Lepisosteus oculatus: one gene and its partner. The protein of the gene in region 1 binds, or shares a complex with, the protein of each later gene. Links are inferred from orthologs where the notes say so. Each region holds a gene or a part of one and is shown in the gene's direction. Other genes may lie near its edges.

The links. Proteins that work in one complex are often made in the same cells at the same time.
Region 2: sf3b5 (region 1) and gpkow share a complex: the UniProt entries of both Homo sapiens proteins name them as parts of the minor spliceosome. The link is inferred for Lepisosteus oculatus from reciprocal best matches to the Homo sapiens genes SF3B5 and GPKOW.

The regions. Positions count from the first base shown.
Region 1 is NC_090712.1:1,905,272-1,915,765, forward strand, and holds sf3b5 (splicing factor 3B subunit 5), read left to right. Parts: upstream 1-5,766; 5' UTR 5,767-5,876; intron 5,877-7,202; 5' UTR 7,203-7,208; coding exon 7,209-7,469; 3' UTR 7,470-7,785; downstream 7,786-10,494. UniProt on the Homo sapiens protein: Component of the 17S U2 SnRNP complex of the spliceosome, a large ribonucleoprotein complex that removes introns from transcribed pre-mRNAs.
Region 2 is NC_090697.1:75,063,836-75,074,921, forward strand, and holds the start of gpkow (G-patch domain and KOW motifs-containing protein), read left to right. Parts: upstream 1-6,004; 5' UTR 6,005-6,795; coding exon 6,796-6,998; intron 6,999-7,248; coding exon 7,249-7,412; intron 7,413-8,752; coding exon 8,753-8,892; intron 8,893-9,554; coding exon 9,555-9,644; intron 9,645-11,086. UniProt on the Homo sapiens protein: RNA-binding protein involved in pre-mRNA splicing. As a component of the minor spliceosome, involved in the splicing of U12-type introns in pre-mRNAs.

The DNA.
Region 1 (10,494 bases):
TTTCCAAATTTGGAAGTAAAGGTGTCTCAGGCAAAGTCATTCTTGAGGAAGACCTGTGATGGGATTATGTGTTTAATGCTTCACATCTGGACAGTGCTCTGCTGGACACGTCAACCAATGAGGGATCTGCAATATTTATTGTAATAATATTTATTATATATGGTGTTTAGAGCTGTATGATGTGACAAGAATGGGTTCTCCTGCTGATCCCAGATTGCAAGTCCAGCACTTAATGGCTGCATTTTGTCAGATAAACACTGGGTGTCAACAGGGTGCTGTTGCTGGCCAGGTCAAAATTCTGATTCAATCCAGACAATTCTTTTGTTTTTAGTTTTTTGGGGGGGCGGGGGGGAGTTGGGGTTAATAATTCTGCTTCACCATACGTTGTAAGAGGAATTTACATTTTGTTAAAATGTTGAAGTAATCATGCTGAGCCTTTTTTTAAATGAGTGAATATTTCAATAAACAAACCTATGGAGTGTAATCGTTTTTATGGTTCTTTTAAAAAGAACATATTCTTTTTCATGTTCTATTTGACTGATATATCTTATCTATAAAGTGTCACTTTACTTCTTTCACCATGAAAAAAGACATTCATGAAGACCACAAACAGCTTCCATCCAAAGGATTATGAAAAAAAAAAGATTTTAGTTGGTGTTTAGTTTTGCGTAAATGCTGATATTAATCTGATATATCTCAGGGTTGTGATCACCATGATCGAAATTGGCCTTTTAGCTTGAGCTACTCCACAGCGCTGCTCCACAGAACCTTTTGGTACACATGTGCTCCAGAATACTTGTGAAGGTAACCCTCACTCCATTCAGTTTCTCAGCCATGGTGCAGATATGGTACTTGCTTGCAGCCCTTAGTTTGCAACCTCCACTTCTGCTCAGTTCTTGGTTCTTCAAATGATTTAGCCCTGACACAACAACTGTACCCCAACTAGCAGATACTTCCTGGACTGGTGATGATGTCATCAAAAGGAGACAGCTCTTGTTTATGAGCAGCTACAGTATATGCCCCTTCATCAAATACTCTTTATTATCAGAAATTATAAGCACTTTGTATCTTCTTATCTAATAATGTTGTGAACAGCAGTGTAAATAACCTTTTCTGTTTTTTTCACAAAATATGATTGCGACAGTAGGCATGTAACAGACACCCTGGAGTGTGAAACATATTTATCTGGGCTCTGACAGGACCCATCTGAAGAATATTTTTCTCTCTGTGCTTCAGAAGGTTTTCTGTAAACCATTTTTCTGTAGACCATGCCACTTGTTGTGCAGCCTTGGGTCATTACCACAGTAGCCAACATGCATTTAATGAGTTAATTAGAATTAGTCTGGGTCTGTAAATAAGATGAAGCTCTAATGGAAAGGAGTGGACATACCGTATAGTTGATTTCACGCAAAATATCCTGCATTCAGCAGCTGCAAACTTGCTTGAATAAACAAAGTCCAGCATCAGACTGCCTGTAACTTTTATTCCCAATGGCACAGTGTCATTGTGAGCGTGCTCTGTTATATTGCACAGTGTCTCTGAGGTACTGATGTGTGAAGGGACTACAAGCAGGTCCTTGTGTCTGACTCAGTGGCCCGAAAGTTTTCTCATGCCGTCAGGCTGTGTTTCCTGTTAAAGAACAGCCAGCTCTTCACCCCCCAGTTTGTGTAAAACAGTGTTTTCACTGTACGAGAGCATCTTCTTTAGTATTCAAAAATCTGATTTAACCCTAATAGAGGGGTTCCGTACACAGAGCCCAGGACTTTACACATTCTGATTGGCTGAGAATTTGGCAAATTTAGCATGGTTCTCTTTGGAGGTAAATTTCTGATGGGACTGCATTTTCTACAGATCGATTCCTCCCTCTTTTCAGAAGGAGAGCTGTCTCCGAAGGTGAGGCACACATCGTGTGATGTTGTGTGCCTTCCTCTATTCTCTCAGTGATGCACCACAGCTCTCAGGTGGGTGTGCAGAATGGCTCTAATGCTTTTCAAGCAACAGCAGATATGCCGGATTCTCGCCAGCTACTGACCACACAACAGGAGATCATATCCTGCAGAGACGGATTCAAATTAAATTATATGGGAAATTAAATAATGACATATTAATCCTTTTATGTCAATTTTCAACATTTGTTATCCTCTGAATAGCACGTGCTATTTGGCATTTTAGCTTGAATGAAATCAAGTAAACAGCTGCTCTGCACAGAAAATAATCATGTCTGAAATGTCACAATACTGATATTAGAACAGATGCACAAAAACAGTGAGTCGTGTAGGAAGTGCCAGTTTAATTATGTTTGTCTTTGATATTCCAGTATTGTGCATCAACCAACATTTTAACATTTTAAATTAATCTTACATGTTGTATTAATACTTCTCAGTGACCAAAAGATTGCTGTTTGAAAACTGCAACAATGTGGCTGGAATGAAAGAATAAACAGTTTCTTTAGTAGAGGGTTACTTGTTTTTAGCGGGACAATTCGGTTACTTCTTTGTGCCCTATAAAGCTTTTTGATCGAAAAATTAAGAGAAACATTCCTAGTGGAGTCAATTCATAAATAACAGTTGCAGATCAGTTTCTATGGAGCAGGATTCTTAGAAACTGGAAATTAACTAGATTATACTGGGTTTATTGTGAAGGGATAATGTAACAATAGTTAAATGTAAATGTTAAGATATAAATAAGAAAACAAATTACTGCTGTGTGGTTGCCTTTTAGGTTATGCTGTTAAGTACAAAAAAGAAGTTAATGTGAGCAACGCACATACTGTAGCTCGGTTAAAGCAAAATATAATCTAAGGAACGCAGGGTTTAGGAGTGGGCTATCATTGAAGTTGGCACCAGTCAGCTATCGAGATTCAGAGGCATCCTGGAGAAGATTCAGGTCTGCAGTTTAATTCACTTAGGGTTACTTAGCAACAGTGACATAAGTGACTGGAAGGGATGAAGCAGTTTCATTTTCTACCTTTTCCTACGAGAGCACAGAGCAGGTAAGACCTACCTAGAGGAATTGCATCTTTTTACTGGAAAATATGTTTTTGAGCTTCCACTCTGCCACAGGTGTGTTTATTCTGGACCACCTGATGAGGAGGGGCCGCCTACAGATGCATCAGGGTGATTGTTTAGTAATACCGTGATCATGTTGTACATGCTGGGGCAACTCTGTTGCACTCAACTAAGAGAACAAGACCTTATATGTCATTTTCATTCATTTTTTCCCCTTCATTTCCCAGAGCTGCAGGAGAGAGTGAGAAGCAGGGCCTGTTTTCTCAACTGCAGTCCTCAGACAGCGCAGGGTCTTCTGGTCTTCTGGTTTTCCTTCCCCCTGAGCGCTATGTTCTGCACTCAGCTTGCCCTTCCCTCAACACTGTGACCCCTTTCCCAGACGGTGAAGCACTGGAACAGCGCTCTTCCTCTTCTGATCTTCTTTGCAGCTGCCTGTATCCCCAGCCTCCTGGCAGCAGGAGAACCTCGAATCAGGCTCAAGTTATTCTGAGTGCTTCAGCTGGGGCTGGGGGGGATGCAGTCAGGGGGGTCTTTCTCTAGTTCTGTCAGTGCGGACCTCTGCCAGCTCAGGCAGACAGTGGCACTATCTGTAACATCAAAGACTGCAGCTTAAACGGTGCCCAATGCCAGCTGAACAGCCCTCTGCATGATCACAGGATTCATGTCATTTCAGCACCTCTTTGGACTTTGAACTGTAGGGCGTGGGGATTTTAGTTTTCATTGATCTACAGCTTAGTTGCACAAAGCATCTGGTTAAGAAGCAGTTTAAACCAAACTGATTCAAGTGCTTAGAAATTGTGTATGAGCCCATATAAAGGCAGGTTATATGGGTTATATATATATAACCCATATAACCTGCTGGATTGTTGCTGTCCAGGACCAGGGCTGGCCACCCAGACAGGAGTTCCTCTCCCCAAAGCAGGTGGCCACGTTTGATTGGCTATCCCAAGTCCTTTCTTCATGGCCCTGTGATGGACCAGGGGGAGAGTAGTGTTATTGACTTTCTGATAATGGGGAGATGGGTATGTGATGGAGCCTGTGCACTTTAACCAAGCACACACCTAACTGTTGTGAGTCTGAGCACATTATACATTAACAGTAGGAAGGCTGGTGAAGTCACCCTTCTTTTTCAGAGTTGCTTCTACAGTACCTTGCCTAGTGTCCCGACTCATTACAGCAAAAATCAACGTGGTAAATTTACAACTGGTGATCACCATACCACCGGCATTTATTGATATTAGAAAAAGTGTTAAATTATATCACGGCCTTTTTAATTTTCACTGGTAGCAACAGTTTAATCAGCAAGCTGATGAGGGAAAATCATGTTTGAATTGGAGACCCGTCAAATTCTTTTCAGTGTAACGGCTCTACAATTCTAAGAGAAGATCTAAAACTAGAAATGAGCACAATAAAAATTACACATATCCCTTATAAAGTGGGTTCACATCAAGGGAATGGGTACATTATACATTGGTGAACTGCTAACGGGTTATACAAATACTAAACAATGCCCTGAATTTTTCATTTTTCAGTGAACTAGCTACAATGTGTACTTGTAACTTGCTCTTCGTTAATAAGCTAATTATATTTGCTCGGTCAATGCAGGATGTCTAATCTGTGTTTGGGAGCTTTGGGAAACGGCAGGAAAAGTTTCATGTTTATGCGCTCTGTGAAGCCACAGCACCACAGCTGTGCTGCTAATTGAGCCCATTTCCTTGTTCGGAGGTCTCTGCCTTTTACTTCTTGTTACTATAGCAATGACAGCAAAGCACTAGCCCCGCTCACTGGGAAATACTCCACAACTGGAACATCATTCACTCCAACAAGCCATGAAGGTGAACCCTCAGGTTTTTGGGTAGTTCAGCAGCAGAGTGGAAGGCCAGTGAGAAAGGTGTGTGAATTGCATCTGGTGGCCTGAAACCAGAAATAAGCAACCCCCATTTCCATCATCTTTTTTTTTATTTTAGGAGGAGAAAAAGAGATATGTGGGCATCAGTGTGGAGTAGTGAGTCTTAAAACATATTTTATTTTACTCAGATTTCTTCAGGCTGTTTTAACGGGTACAAAAGCAAGTTGCATCAGCCAACTAACGTAATTGAAACTTTATTTAAATGAAAATAGAGCAGTTATAGTTAAGTTGATAGTCCAACATGGAATGCATCTAAAAGGCTGGTTTTGTGCGTAGTACAGGATACTGGACCAGTCCAGTTGAATTTGCCATTCAGTAACCGGTGGTGCTGAAAGGTCAGAAAGACGAACTTAAAAACAGTTACCCCAAAGGGTATTAAGACGACATATTCATAGTCCTGAGCAGCCTTCATGCTGGAGATCCATCAAGACTTCGGATCTATGGCTTTCTTCCGTATATTAAAAGATCAGATAGGATAAAGATGAGGGCAGGCCATTCTTTCGGGAGCTATTTAAGGAGCTGACAATCTCAGCTAGGTCTTTCTTGAAGAAAGACAGAGTATCAACCCCAACAACATGGCCGACTAACATGGTCCAGACTCTAGCATCCTTTTGTGTAAAAACCTACTTCCTTTTCTCAGCAGAATTGCCAGCAAATTAGATATTTACAAGAAAAATAGTTACATTTATGGGGTACATAAAATGAAACCTATTGTAAATTTATCAGCGAAAGATAAATCCTTTGACCTACTAAAATTCGTTTAATTACGTTCACTTAGGGAGTCTACCGTCGACCCAATGTCAGGGTTTCCGCTCAATCGAATTTTGCGAAGGCAAGAGGAGACTGTTTGTCCTTTCTCGCTTCCTGTAGAAAGCGATTTCAACGTGTGCGAGTGGAGCGGTAACTAATTCCGTAGGAAGAAAAGGCTATTCAGGTTGTTTATTTTAAAGTCATCAGTGGTAAGAATTTATTTTTAGAATTGTTATACATTAAATGTCTGTCAGTTATTTATGTGAAGGTAAAGGGAAGGTTTTGTTAAATGTGCGTTTGTTAACCGAGTGTGTTAAAGTAGTTTACGACGCCATTTTAAGTATTTTAGTTACTTTAGACATGAGTTTTCAGGTTATTTTAAACGAAAGAAAAATTTTATTTCATTTTTTATTGTACGACGTTCGTTGATCTTCAGGAATAGACTGGGATTAGTTTGAGGTGTGTTTTAACTAGTTTTGAAATAGTTACGTAAAAGCAATGGGATTGTTTTTGTAATTCTTTCTCGACGGTGAAACTAGTAGCCTTTCTTGTTAGCTCAAACCCTAAATGTACTTTGTATGGCACATTCTGAAAAATAACTAACATTGTACTCTTTGTATCACAAGTTTTGGTTATTGTTTCTAAGCCACTTAGACTTATTATATTGCATTTTATCTTACGAATTAATGGCGGAATGCTAAAAATATTTTTATTGATTACTTGAAAACACTAGTCTCGTATCAATGACTTTAACTGTATATGTTTCAGTATGAAATAAATACCAATACTCCTACCACTATAACTGCTACTGTAGGCCTCCGTCTGCAATTCAGTTCTTAGACTTAGTCTGGTGATCGCATTCTTGTCTTCACAATTGAATATTTTAGTTGTTTTTAATAACTTTTGTTTCTCTTACATCTTACGTACCCGCCCACATTTAAGCCGCCGTGAGTATGCTTTGACAGGGTATATTTTTCCAATTGTACATGCAAGTTCGACGGAATAATAATAATAAATAAATAATTGCTTACACTTATATAGCGCTTTTCTGGACACTCCACTCAAAGCGCTTTACAGGTAATGGGGACTCCCCTCCACCACCACCAATAAGACCTGGTTTGTTTCCTGATACCTATTCAAATGTCTCTTAATCACAAATCACGAACATTAGGAGCTCAAAGCTCTTTTCTGGCACGTGTTCCTGAATGGCAGCCTCTATGAGACGCTTTAATGATAATTCAAAGTGAATGAAATTTCAGAGGCTCTTGTGATTTACCGTTCCTGTACTGTAGCAGCAGACTGAAGATGCAAAATCTCAGGCACCCACTAGGACATGAAGCACCAGATGCTAGAAGCCGTTTGGTTAAAAAGATTAAAACTAACTTTTGTTCTGTTTATACCCTCACCTGAAGTCATCTCGGTTCTTTAACTGATAGTTAAACGCAAGGGATAAGACATGATCAATCCGACTCGCGCTGATTAGCTGCTGTACCCGAGGGGTCTCCTGTTTTGATCGCTTTGCGCTCCTCTCGCAGTGGAAGATGACGGACCGCTACAACATCCACAGCCAGCTGGAGCACTTGCAGTCCAAGTACATCGGGACGGGCCACGCCGACACCACCAAGTGGGAGTGGCTGGTCAACCAGCACCGGGACTCCTACTGCTCCTACATGGGCCACTTCGACCTGCTCAACTACTTCTCCGTGGCCGAGAACGAGAGCAAGGCCCGGGTGCGCTTCAACCTCATGGAGAAGATGCTGCAGCCCTGCGGGCCGCCCGCCGACAAGCCAGACGACGCCTAGCCCGGGGGGCCAGCCCGGGGCCGTGCCTCTGTAGATCGTTTCTGGGCGCCTCCGGGACTGCGATGATGGAGAACGCAAGCGGCTGCGTGTGCGAAGGGAAGGGCGGGAGCAAGTCGGTTTGGTCTTGGCACAGTGCGGCGGTTTTATCTTCGGCAGCGTTCGGATAAGCCAGTGGCGGCGTCTGTTCATAATTTCAGTTGTGGTGTCTGGTGCTTTTATAGAAACAGTTCATTCTGGTGTTCCTCATTGTTGGGTGATATTTTACTGATTTTTTTTTTTACATATTTTTACAATAAATTAATGCTGACCGATTTGACTCTGCTGTTGCTTACATGCTTATAATGAGGGTTTTGTCCGTTTCGGGTGTATTTTGTTGTTGTTATACAGTGGTCTTCATCGGTTATCAGGGTGTTGGCCATAAAAGTCCGACAGTATTTGCAACCTGCTTAGAAGTTGGCTGTTTTTTTTAACGGTCTCCTTTAATTCGGAAGGGCTCTTCAGCTGAGCGGTCTATCCTAGTTGTAGCTCTGATCCTAAGAGGAGGTAGTTACCATTCAGAGATGCACAGGATTCAGAATTGAGTGATTACAGTAAAGAATCATCATTAATGTCTCCCTTTGTTTGTCTCTGCGCGGTGTTTCCAAACTTGATTGATTAGTACTGTAATCTTACAGCACTAATAGAAAGTTTGTATTACTGAAACTTTCAAAAAGGGGATATTACTTATAAAACTGAGCAGGAAAATATGTAGTATTTAGGAATCCTTCTGATGTTTATCTAAATCAAGGTTTTTACAGACATTGAACAGCTCATTTTCTTACTGAAGCTACATCATAGTTTATCCTATATAGTCAAACGTAGAGGGATTGGGCCACTGCAGGACAACACAAGTCCGACAAATTGGTGCCAAACCTGGTGATCCTGTTAATGAAGGGATGGAAACTTCAAAATGGGTAAGCTACTCCTGAAAATTTTAAAGTTTCTCTCTTTCCTTTTTGATCTTTAAAAGTGAAGTACTGTATGACCAATTACACTAACTCGAAGTTAAAACCAGCTGTGAAATCGGTAGTTGGCAGCTGTGAAGAACATGCACTTGTAACACAGCCATTTAACTTTTACTTGCAAGGGAAGATGTTGCAATTCCTATTACTACTAAAATAATGTTGGAAAGAATGCTGGTAAATATTCAGTTTTTGAAAACTTTGTTTAACACTCTCTGCAGGATATATTTCAGTGTGATTGACAAAAGCCAGACTGGTGCATTTGGCTTCTGCTTAGTTTCCAAGTTTTATTTTGGTGGTGACGTGCTGTTAAGCTGAAGCCGACGTGTGATTGTTGGACACGGGCCCTTGAAACAGCACTGACATTTAATGGCAGTCTGTTCCTGGGATTTGCCTTTTTTTCCAGATTTGCTTTTAGTCATGGGGAAAGTCTGATGATCATTAATGCAGTACTTGTCTTGTTATGGCATTTAAAAAGCAGATCTATTGTGAAATGCCTGTTGGAGTTTACAGAACTCTGTAGTGTGCTTCAAGGAGGACAGTAATTATCTTTTGATATGTCATGCATATGGTATTTATCAACCATTTGATAAAGGAAAGAGTAACTGAAATGGTTTCCCTTGGCAAGCACAAATACCATAGCAACAACAGGCGTTTTTTTACAGGCTTTGCATTTTTATTTGGAGAAAGAACTGTGGATTTTGTTAGTTTTCTTGGCAGCATGCTCACATGTTCTGTGTGAGAGAAATAGATTAGGGATGTCTTACGATTTAAATTCAATGGTGACAGATGTAAAGAATTTGTGTCACTGAAGGACTTATTTTATCATTTTGCTTCCTTTGGCTAACAGAAGGAACAGTTCTAAAATTTTCTTCTTGGAGAAAGGTTATTTGATCATAGTGTTTTTTTTTTTGAGTGGTCTGCATGTGTATACATGATACCAAGATAAAACTAAAAAAAGGTTTGAGAAGATTTCCACCGTGCCTTATCGAAGAAAATTACTTTTGCTCTAGTGCAGTAATCTGTATAAATATAATCTCTTTGAAAATGGTCTGTATAAATCTCTTATGTCCCCAGAATAGATTTATGTTATAAGCCCTGCATCAATACAAAGCATTTAAGCCAAAAATACATATTCAAAGTGTAACAAGCTTTTTAAGTATTGAAAACTAAAAAAACAGTAATTTAACAAATGAGATAATATAACATTGGCTGTTCTCTTCTGTTTCACCGATACCTTTATATTTCAATTAGACATCTAGCCTCGCACAACAATAATTGTTACTTCTGTTGTGCATGGAGTGTTTTCAAGTAAAAAATTCAATTAGTAAAATTAGTAAATATAACTATACAGCTATTATATTAATGGTTTGTCTTTACTCTTCCTGACTAGAAAGTAAGTACTTAAGAGCATAGTTCCTGTAACATTTTGAACTCAGCAGCAGCACTGAGGGTTTTTGAATTGCAAATTGATTTTTATAACTGTCATGACATTTGCTTGAAAGTGGATGTTAATGCAGTGTGCCCTGAAGCATGCAGGGCATGTTCCCCATCAAGCCAGGAGTCATTAGACGCCAGCACTGAATATGTGGCTCAGGTGAAGAGAGAAATGGCAGCAAGCTTAAGATGCTGATTTTATAGGCAGGGGAGGAGAAAAGAAAAAACAGAAGGCACTTCATTACACAAACGGTGGGATTCTGGCATAAGCTAACTAGCCGTGTTGTTAAAGCTGATAACCTGGTGTCCTCCAGGAAATAGATGAGATCTTTCTGTCAATTACAAACTAACCTGCAGGCTTAGTTCCACAGTGCTGGCAAAGCAAGATAGCACAGATTAAGGGAGCAGCATGTCACTACAGGGCTGCTATCACTCCCAGGAGATGCTGTTTTTCCAGAAAGCCCATAAAGAGGATATCCCTACCCCTGCAGCTGCAAGGAGAATCCTGGTCAGTCAGCAAGTGACATGACCCAGTCCTGAATTCTGTTTATGCTACTTATCAACTTTGTAAAGCCAATCCTGTAACC
Region 2 (11,086 bases), on another chromosome or scaffold:
TGGAAATAGATCTGGGCTGCAAGGTCACTTTAAAAGTAGGATTACTTGGGCATCTTATTACCCCCTTCCTCCAAAAAAAAGGAACAACGCTGAAATTTCTGATCGGGTGGATTTCTATGGGACAGTCAAAGAGCTGCTGGGTGAGAATTCAAGGCCCTGACGAAAAGAGAATGCATAAGCGACACAACACCAGGCACAAAACACAGCAGACCCCAACACTGCAGTGCCTCTCACAGCTCGGTCTGACACATACCTGCATGCACAGGGAGCAGAATTCTCAGTGTGGGAAAACTGGAAAATCCTGTTTAGGTGCTACGGTCTACGCAGTGGGGTCAGATTTTCCCGGTGTACTAACTGTACACAAACCACTGTTCTAATTCATTGACCATGGGAAGGGGCAGTTAGCCCAGAGGGAAAATAAGGGCCCTTATCTCCAGAGCACACAGCGTGAGCACTTCTGTTTTCAGGTATCCAGAGAAGAGGTGGCACTCGGAACAGCACTGGACTGAGGTAATGTGGGCAACAGACACAGCCAGAGGAGAGGACACAGCCGTAGAGCAGCAACGCAGGATATGTAGGATTTGTAATATTGCACAAATAGGGAAATGTGTTAAGCACTGAGAACAGGAGCGGCCCCTTTACACAAAGGGTTGGCGGAGAATGGAACAAGCTTTCTTTCAGGAAGCAGCTGGATGAGATTAGCCTTGCCACCTTTCCAAGATGAAAGGGGGAAACAAAAAAGAGCTTTTCGCCACCCGCAGACAGGGTGTGCGCCCCGCCACGGTGTTGGGGTACCCGTGCCAGAACTACTACGGAGATGAGGGACCCCTCGCTTGTGTCGGGGCCTGCGCCCCACTTCTTTTAACAGTCGTTTTAGCACCTGCAACCAGCGGGGGCACGAAGCCAGCAGGCCGAGCAGCAACCCAGGACAAGCTCCTCGGGCCCCATCGCCACCCAAGACTTCTCCTGCTCAGAACCCGTCTCGTGTTCTGACGGAGCCCGGCTGGGCCCGGTGTGGGTGAGCTGCCTCTTCGCCTGCAGGCTTTCAGCAGCGGGTTGGCTGGAGAGCAAGGCAAGAGTGCTCTCGCTAAATCTTCACACGACACAACAGACACGTGGGACTCCGGCTGGGAGCTCGTCTACGGCTCCTCGTCGTCTCTGGGCCCTGGATATTTCAGTCTGGTACCCCCAATCTGAATGGGCGTGAGCAGACAGAGCCAATCGGCACAAAAGCCTGGGGTGGTCGGTTGTGTTTCGTTTCACAACAGACGCCGCAAGTTGTTTATAGGCCGAAACCTATAAAAATCGATTGTTTCATTCGCTGGGAATGGCAGCCCGTAGTCATTCACCACACGAGCGCGAAACGAACAGAGATGCAAGACGAGAGGGATTCTCAGTCACTTGAATTCATTCAGCCTCAAGATCCTGCCACAGTGGATCTGCTTTCATTATTTTTTCATTGATTGATGAATCTTGCAACGGCATTTCTGAACAGCTGGCTCTGTCTTCACAAAGGCCTGTAGTGAAACAGATCTGTATGTTCGGTACTCTGGAGCCCCTCCAAAACAACAGTAGAAACCTTCTAGTGAGAGAGCGGTACGACCATCCAATCACTCCATCATCACTGGTGGTTCAAATTCAATGTTTGATGGCCAGATCTTTCCAGGTTCAAGTAGGCTGGTCACTTTGCAAACGGCTAAGGCTCATTCAAGATTCGGGGTTCAGTCTGTAACCTCTGGACTGCAGGGATTCATCCTGGACTGGTACCCCCTGTGACCTCCAGTCTGCAGGAGCTCATTCTGGACTGGTACCCCCTGTGACCTCCAGTCTGCAGGGGATCATCCTGGACTTGTACCCCCTGTGACCTCCAGTCTGCAGGGGCTCATCCTGGACTGGTACCCCCTGTGACCTCCAGTCTGCAGGGGCTCATCCTGGACTGGTACCCCCTGTGATCTCCAGTCTGCAGGGGATCGTCCTGGACTGGACTGGAAACCAGTCCTGTAATGGATGATGAGGAGTCAGGCAGGGCCCCCTCTTCCCACTTCGCAGGAGAGACTCAGTGGAGCCAGGCTGTAATCTGAGCGTGCCGTATCCGGGGCTGTGCTGACACAGACAGGACGGGACAGCAAGGTGACCCGAACAGTGCAGAGTCCCGGTCTACACTCGATATCCCCCGATCCCATCCCCACCTTCAGGTTGATTCTGTGTCAAACACTGCCCACCTTCCAGATCCACGCTTTTTCTTCTTCTTCTTCTTCTTCTTCGTCTTATTATTATTATTATTATTATTATTATTATTATTATAGTGCAACACTGTACAAGCCTGGACACAGAAGCGACTATCTTCTTAACGGAGTTTTAAAGCAGCACAGCCAATGTTTCGAGCCAGTGTCCTCTTTGGTGTGAAAGGCACAGCGAGTGGCACCAGTGTGACATCCCGCTGAGACAATCGGATCGCTGTGAAGCCATCTGGAGGATAAAAACTTTCTCAGAGTCTTGTCTCCAGCAGCACCCCTGACAACACGGGTCTGCCACGAGCTCTGAGAGCTGACCAGCCCGAAGAGGCGAATCTCGCGCTCAACAAAAACCTTTTTTTGAAAAATATACAGTATATACTGTATATAAAAATAAAAACAGACACATATAAACACAGAGGGGAAAAAAAAGTTCCTCTGATGATGATGATGATTTTACACAAGTATATGTATGAAATTAAAAAATAAATGAATTGGTTTTGATTTCCGGTCCGGTCTGGCTAATGCAATGAGGCCCGGCTGAATTAAAATCAGATCCGTCTATTTTCTGACCACGTCTATTAATTCAGGGTCGCAGGGGAGCTGGGGCACAAGGCAGGGTACACCCTGGACGGGACGCCAGTCCATCACAGGGCAGACAGACATAGACACACACGCACTCTTACCAGCACCCATCAGCCAACCAGCATGTGTTTGGACTGTGGGAGGAAACCCACACAAACACGGGGAGAACATGCAGACTCCACACAGACAGCACCCCAGGTCTGAAATTGGACTCAGGGCCCGAGTGCTACAATGCAGCAAAGCTGACCCCTGCGCCACCGAATTAAAATTATTTTAAAGAAATACAATGAAATACTCTAGTACTGTTTCTAGTGCTACTGCCAGTGCAGAACCAATAAGAACACTGCAGAGTCCCCCAAAACAGGACAATTTAACCAGCTTTTCATAAATCACTTCCGCACCTCAGTGGTACAAATACAGCATCAGACATCTGCACGAGATCCTGCCAAACCTGCACAAGCCCAAGGTGCCCCAGGCAGCCCTGTGTCTGTGTCAGCTCCTCGTTGAGGCTGGTGCTGTGTATCAGTGGTACTGTCTCGGTATCAGGGCAGCGTGTTTAATGAAGGGGAGGACTCTGGGCGGTCTCCGATGATCCTGATGGAAGTGACAAGAGCTCAAAAAAGACAAACGTCAAGCGCCTGCCCCCCTTAAACCAGCAATAGCAGAGTCCCCCAGAGATCCGAGTCAAACCAATGTGGGTGCACTGCACCACACACACGTCCAGGAGACGCTACCCAATGGGCACAGCGAGCAGGCCATGGGTCTGGGATCAGGCGACCGCTGTCTGTCCTCATCACACACAGCCTCATTAGGGATCTGTGGGAGGCAGCGGGGCTGAGCTGGGGACAGTCAAAAAGAAAGGCTAGCAGCCAGTCCAGTTTTTTTTTTTCCCCATCAGGAAGAACACCACCATGTCGGGCGGTCATGAGTCAACCTGTATAAAGGGGGACACATGGGTTCCAATCTCCACATAAGTTTAGATCCCTGTCAGGAAAACACCGGGAACACCTCTGATCGACCCATCACTTGTCTGGAAGAACGACCTGCTTTCTCTTGGAAATCCTACTAGGCAACCCACTGAGCTAGAAACACGCTGAGCCTACCCCATGAGCACCTCGAAAAAGATCATTTTCAATGCTTAATAAACGTCACTTTCAGTTTTTCAGACTAGAGGATCGCTCTTCATTTACGCAGGTTTCTGTCCGTGGCAGTTAATGATTCAACATCCACCGTGTTGTAAAACCACCTCATAAAACACGGTATGGCTCTGGGTAATCGGTAATCGCAGATGCAACACTGTCTCCCTGTACTGTCAGGCAAACGGGCTCAGCTGTGGCTCGTTTAAATAGCTTTCAGGGTGGCCCGGCGGAAACAAAAGCATTATCCGGTCACCACGGACGGTAAATTAAAAACATATCGCAGTATAGGAGGTACCACACCTTGGTGTACCCCGATAAATACCGTTTTACTGACAGATGTGTACAGAGCTACACTCCCCTTTTCGTTAATGTGACAAACCCTAGTGCTGGTCTGTCTCCTTACTAGTAAATGAGCCGGGAAATCTGCGGAGTTAATTACAGTGTAGCTACCCCGTCCTTTTCCACGGTTTATTACGGCTAAATTGTGTTGTTGTTGTTTTTTTTCAACGCGGCATTGGTAACGAGCCCGGGTCCTCAGTTAAGGGAAGCAGTGAGATTTGACACACAGAAATACACCAATCGTCTTGACAGTAGAGGGTAGAAAAAAAAACGCCGAATGCTAATGACTTGGGATGTTTTTATTTTTTATCAGAGAATTTGAGATACGACGAATCTCCTCACAACCTCACACAGATCAGACGCCACACACACCAGATTGCGAAAAAAAAACATAATCGCTGCGTTCGTGAAAAAAAAAAATGAAACTGAACACGGTATTATTCTTCCAAACTGACTATTTCACACACTCCAGCGGACACACCGCATTACGTTATTAGCAAGACATCCTCGTAGACGTATACATGACAGATCCGTGTAGGAAATTTACTCATCCTTACGACACAGGCGTGTGAAATGCACGACCACATCGTGTATGTTGTATACGGCAAGCCGACAAAATCAAACACTTGCGTTAAAAAAACCCACTCCGCCTCGGCAACTGTCCTGGCCCGTCTCACACGTCGGACAGGCTTGTATAAGCGGTTTGGGCGCCCAAACGAAAGGCAGTTTATCCAAATAAATAAATAACACGTCCATATATTAATATTCTACTGTACATCGACCTGACCCGAGCGGTTGACCCCGATCAGTAACGCAGCGGGTCCCTATCGGGGATGAGACTAAATGGATTATTTTTAACCCCCCGTCCCTCTCTCCCTCTGTTTGTGTGTGTTGATTTATTTAAAAAAAAACACAGGCCGTGTATATAACAGTGGATTATTACTATATAATATTAATTTCACACTTGGAAGTCGCGGACAGCCGACGACCCGCTCTTTTCCCAACGGCGGAGCGCGAGACGCGTGACTGAATTTGGGGGGGGGGGGCGGTCGAAACAAACGCGTCCGTTTGACATAATTCGTTTAACAAATCGGTCCCCGTCCCCGTATAAAAAACAAAAACAAAACATCTTTATCGTCACCCCGCTATGAGAAAATGACAACAAATAATGTCGGTAAGAAGAAATCAAAAAATATCTTTAACAAAAAAAAAAACCTTACCTTCATCGTTCCTGCGCCTTCACAACCTATTCCCTCGTCTCGGTTCCGTACTTCTCCAGATATTACTTAAATATTCACATTCACATGCGGCTGTGATGCTCCTTAGCGCCGTTTTTGTATCATAATGATCATGCTCGGATTAGACACGGGCGGCGGTGCTACTGTTTTGAGAGAAAGGTGTTCACTCTCCTGCTCCTGCGGCAGGTCGCCATGCCTGAGACGGGCGATAGGACACAGGTCAGAAATTGCATTACATTTCATTACAGTCTACAATAAACAGCGGCGGCGATAATGAGAGAAACAGAAGAAGAGGAAAAAACGGAGACCCGCCTGTACGGGCAAGGGATTGGACGAGGCTGGTGTACTGTATGTGTGCTGGCTCTGTGTGTGTGTGTACAGATCTACAACCGCACCGCTTCGCTTTAAAATCTCTTGCCTCCAAACACGTCCAATTAATCCCCGTCCAGTGATAACGGTGGGCAGCGGGAGAGGGAACCAAGGAGCTCGGCTTTTAAATGAACACACACACACAAAAAAAACCCAAAACTTTTATTTTTTACAGTACAGAACAGCGATAAAACCGACACAATGAATGCGAGGGGGGGAACTGAAGGTCAAACGCGCTTGTAACGAAGAATAAATTCATACATTCAAGACAAACGACGCCAGTACGTGTTCTTGACCTGACCTACATAAAGCGATAATAAAAATATTATCCTCATTTGTATACCTACTAATTTCCGCCGCATGCCTTAGTGAATATTTTTTCGTACTCTGGCAAATTGGGGCCTGTTTTCTCTTTTAATTCATTAAATCAAACCTTCAAAATATAATAATGTGGGCATAGTTGAATTATTTCGGGTATTTCGCTTGTTATTCTATAAGCAGATGCGTTAAGCGACAGATAAAAAAAAACTGTGCTTCAAAAAGGCAACATGACTATGGAGCTGTGCGTTTATTTTCTAAATACAATATATGACAAAAATATATAATGACTGTAACTGTAATCGTTTTAAACTGAAACGATTCTGTTTCCAGTAGACTGGAAATAGTCAGCGCTAAGAAAAATCCAACAACCTGGTTAGTCTCCATAGTGATAGTCTGCTGTGACCTTGCGTGACCCGAAAAACTAAGGCTGCATTGTAGGAGTTGTAGTCCCTGGTGTCGATAACGTTCATTACCGTGCACGCCTGAGCAGGATGAAAAGGACTACATTCGCCAGGGGCACCCGCGAGCTGGCTGCCGGCTTGTCGCGGCTCGGGACCCGAGGAGGAAGAAATGGCGGACCCCGACAAACTACGAAGTGATGCCGGCGAGAAACACGGGGAAGTCGGAAATGGGAGCAAAAAAAGGGAGGCCGCCGCCGGCCCCGTGTCTTTTGGCTTCAGCAAAACCGTCAGCAAGTTCAGAGTTCAGAGCTCCGCCGAAAAAGTGGAGGAGAAAGACTACCTGACCGGTGTAGAAGGAAAGGAGTTAAAGAGGTATGGCCGAGAGTAGCGCTCTACATAGGGTACCGGGGTCTCAAAGACTTTCAAAACTTAACCTCGGGGTGCAAAATTTATTGTAGTGTTGAAGTGTAGTAATTTCGCTTTTTGTTTCTTTCTGGTTGTATGTCTTGCCTCTCTTGTGTTGACTTGATTCGGGGTGTTCTGGTGTCTTTTCCTGCCTGCTTTTGACTCTGCATCTCGGTGCGCTTGGGTTCGGGCGTGTCGTCTGCGCTTCTGCGTCCAGCACCAGACCAGCGGAGAAGCCCAAGGAGCTGGTCATCCCGCTGATCCACAAGAACCGGTGGTACAAGGGCGAAGGGGCCAGCAGGACGGCCAGCGAGACCTGTCCGCAGCCGCCCAGGGAGGAGGATGCTGTGGAGTCGCAGGCCGTCAAGGAGCTGATTGAGGGTACGTGCATCAGGCTCTCCCGGCGTAGCCCACTGGACCGTTTCGGGTTTCACCAGCTTCAAGGCTGTTGCGCGCGTAAACACAGCTGGGCGGCACGGTAGCAGTTCCGGGGTCCTGGGTTAATTCCTGCAGGCTGTCTGTGTGGAGTTTGCACGTTCTTCCACGTTCATGTGGGCTTCCTCTGGATGCTCCAGTTTTTGGAGTCCAGTTTTCTGGGAAAATTGGTCCTGGTGTGGGTGTGTGTGTACGGCAGTGTTTTTGTGCCCTGCCATGGACTGGCATGCCGTCCAGGGTGTAACCCACCGTGCGCCTGTTGCTTCCTGGGATGATACCCACCTCCCCCGGACTTGAATCGGACGAAACAGTTGGAAAATGGATTGATGGGTGAATGCTCTAGTTTGTGTTTCGGTGTTCATCCTGTTGAAGTCCACTGGGTTGACTCTGTCAATGCCTTTGAAGATTTTGAATACTTTAATAGGGTCCCCTGGTAGTCTCTGTTCAAGACTACAAGAAAAACTGCACTTCCTTTAACCTCTCAGTGTAGTAAGTTGGTACAATTCACTCCACCAGTAACCAGCCAGTGCACAAGAACCCACTGCTTGTTCGAAGACTGAAGTTGCTCCGTCAGCTGAGCACCAATCTTGTTTCTGTCCCCTGCTGTTCTTCGGGTTATTCTCCTCCCAGTTCTCCTGTTACACCCTGATCTTCTTCTTCCCTGACCGCTGCTAGAACTCCTCATTTGATGTTATCATTAAAGTGCTTTCTTTCCAAGGGGCATTGCTGGGAACTTAAAATGCATGGTAAACTGTCAGCCTAATTTTAATAGTCTGTTAATATATAAATGCGTGCATCTGGTAGCATTAACAGAAACCTGTTTAGAAGAGATTCAAAGAGGTTTCTTACAACCATTGTTTTAGTTTCTTTAATTACTCCTGTTGAATGGAAAAGCATTATGTGTCACTGTCTCACGGACACCATGTTTGTGAAGGGATGTGCTCTTCTTTAAATAAAATGACGCATCCAGGCTGTTATTGGAATCTTTTACTAAAATGTTTTTTTTTTATGGTGATTTATAAAAGCACTTTAATCCTGTAGCTGCCTGGGTCTCTCCAGAGTTACACCATTTTGCAGTTAGTGTAGGAATGGAAAGATTTCCACTGCACTGACGTTGGTCTGAGTTGCTAATCTGAGTTTTACGAGCTCCAGGCTCTGCTATGTAAACCAACACCAGCCAGCCTGGCCTGCACCTCCCCGGTCCTGAAACGAACGAGGCTCCTGTCCAGTGGGAGAGTCTTATTGTCTTATTTCCACCCCGTCTTATTGTCTCTCTCTCTCCTCAGAGTCCCAGCGGCAGCAGGAGTTGTGGAAAAATGGCGGAGCGGCTGACCTGAACCTGTCCATCCCGCTGCTGATGCAGAACAAGGCTCCCGAGGGCTACGAGGACGGAGACAAGATCCAAGTGGACCTGCGGCCCGAGTCTGTGAGTCGCCGCCCCAGCCCCTGCTTCACAGAGCAGAACCAACTAACTCAGCATTTGATAACCATTAAAAATATTGTCATTCCTGGGGACTGTCATTCTCTGAGTTTCCCACAAATTGATTTATCCTCTCCTGCGGCTGTAACAGTTAAATGCTTTCACTGTGCACTAGTGCAGTTTAATTTTCTGACCTTTTTTTTTTTGGTATTGATTAATTATTTTCCCCAGTGCCATTTTAATTAAGAGTTGGAAGGGACCGCCATTGTTAATGTAGGATTTTAGGCGCAATTAGGAGATTAAATGTGCTTTTCAGATCCTCTGGTGATTACGTGGCTGTATATGTTGCACCTAGTGCGTTTATATATATCCAGTAGGTAGAGGGAGATAATTGGGTAACTGGACAGGCATCTATTGCCTGTGCTCTTCATACTGTCTAAATGGCTGCACAGTTCATTAGCAGAATAAAAGAGCTGCCAGTTCTTCAGTGTCTTACGAGCACAGGCTCCTTGCTGCTGGAAAACTGTCCACAGTGTTCCTCGGTCTGTACAGAACATGGGTGCGCAGGCATGTGTGCGTCCATGATACGTGTGTGAATGTGTACTACATGTATTAATCTAGGGTTTGTTTCCCCTTTTTGTCCTCTTGTCTTGCCTGACGGGGTTCAGGATGAGATTCTCTGGCGCGGGGAGCACGCGTCTGGACAGGAGGGTGCAGAGATAGAGAGCTCACCCCACTGCTTGCGCTCGCCCTACTGTGTGAGTGGAGGTAGATGGACTGGTTGTCGAAGAGCCCCTTGCCCATGTTGTCCTGTTGTTCTGGCCCTGGGGGTGCAAGGGTTCTCACTGCCCTCACAGACCGATATCAAGCACCTTCGGGTGCTGCTTTTGTTCCGTCTGCCACCAAACCGAGACGAAAAAAACATGAAAATCCGGAAAACATCACACAGAGCAGCAAGGCAGTGAGCCTGAGGGTGCCCGACCGCAGCGGGGCGGTGCCGTGTGAACTCCTGCACCCCCCAGCCGGGCGGACTTGTTCGCTCCGGGGCGGGGGAGGGGGGGCTGCTGACATCGGCACGCGCTGGCAGCCAGGCAGGACTGCAGGGCTGCAGGCTGCTGCGGCTCTGGGCTCGGCCGAGCCATGGGGAGCCGGCGCACGTCCGCTCCCAGGATCCGCAGCACCGACAAGAGTTCTGCTCTGTTCTCGAGGTCGGAGAGCTACGGCCCTCATGCAGCGTCACAGAAACTCCTGAAGTTACATCCCTCCTCCGTTCTGCCCTAAATTGTTCCTTGGGTTTCTGGGTTTTGCCCACACCGAGCTGCTGTGCACATGGCCAACGCCCACTCTAAGAGATAAGAGACTTTTAACCCTCAAACTGTGAAATACCCAAGGCAGCTCCTGGGGCCATCCCCCGCCCTTCTCACTTTCTCTCCCAGCTGTTGTGCGAGTGCTGTAGCCTCTTAGACACAGATGCTGGCTCTTTCTGGGCAGAAGGGAACATGGCATTAGTTTTACGTCGGAGTTCCCTGTTCCACCAGACATTCAGTGTGCTGCTAAATCCCAGTCTTGCGCTGGTACACGAAACAGCTCCGAGAGACAAACAGCTGGTGTGCAGCAGGGTAAGCCACGTCAGGTTTTCAGCAGGTGATGCTCACTTTATTTGGAGCGAAAGTCTTGAAAAACCTGGAGCTGCAGGAATATTAAACGTGTTCACTGTTCGGCTGCGCCACTGCTGGGACGGTGATGCGTCGGCCGGATACAATGTTTTATTTTTTGGGTAGCTGCAGGAGCCTTCAGCGCACAGTAAATCCCAAAATGGCTGAGCACCGGGAGTCCTGACTTCTATTCCTGCATTATACACGCACATCCTTATGTAGAGAAGCAGGACTCAGTGCTTTTCAGCTGAAGATTTGATCAGTCCGGCACTAGTGCGGCAGGAGAATAATTTCCAGCTCGGTTGTGTGAATATGAACCGCGTTTGGGGGGCTTTCGCCTCAGAACTTTAGGGGGAGCTTCTGCAGACAGTCATACTCTTCAAGCTACAGCTGGATAGTGACATGAAAGTGGTTTGAGGTAAGAGGCAATAACAAGCCTGTTCTTGGGAGGTCGGCTTTAGGTTTTGTAAATTTGCTGCTAGCAAAACATTAATTGTAGCTTGTTTGTCTCACCACTGAGGTGGCTCAGCTGAGGGTATATGTTT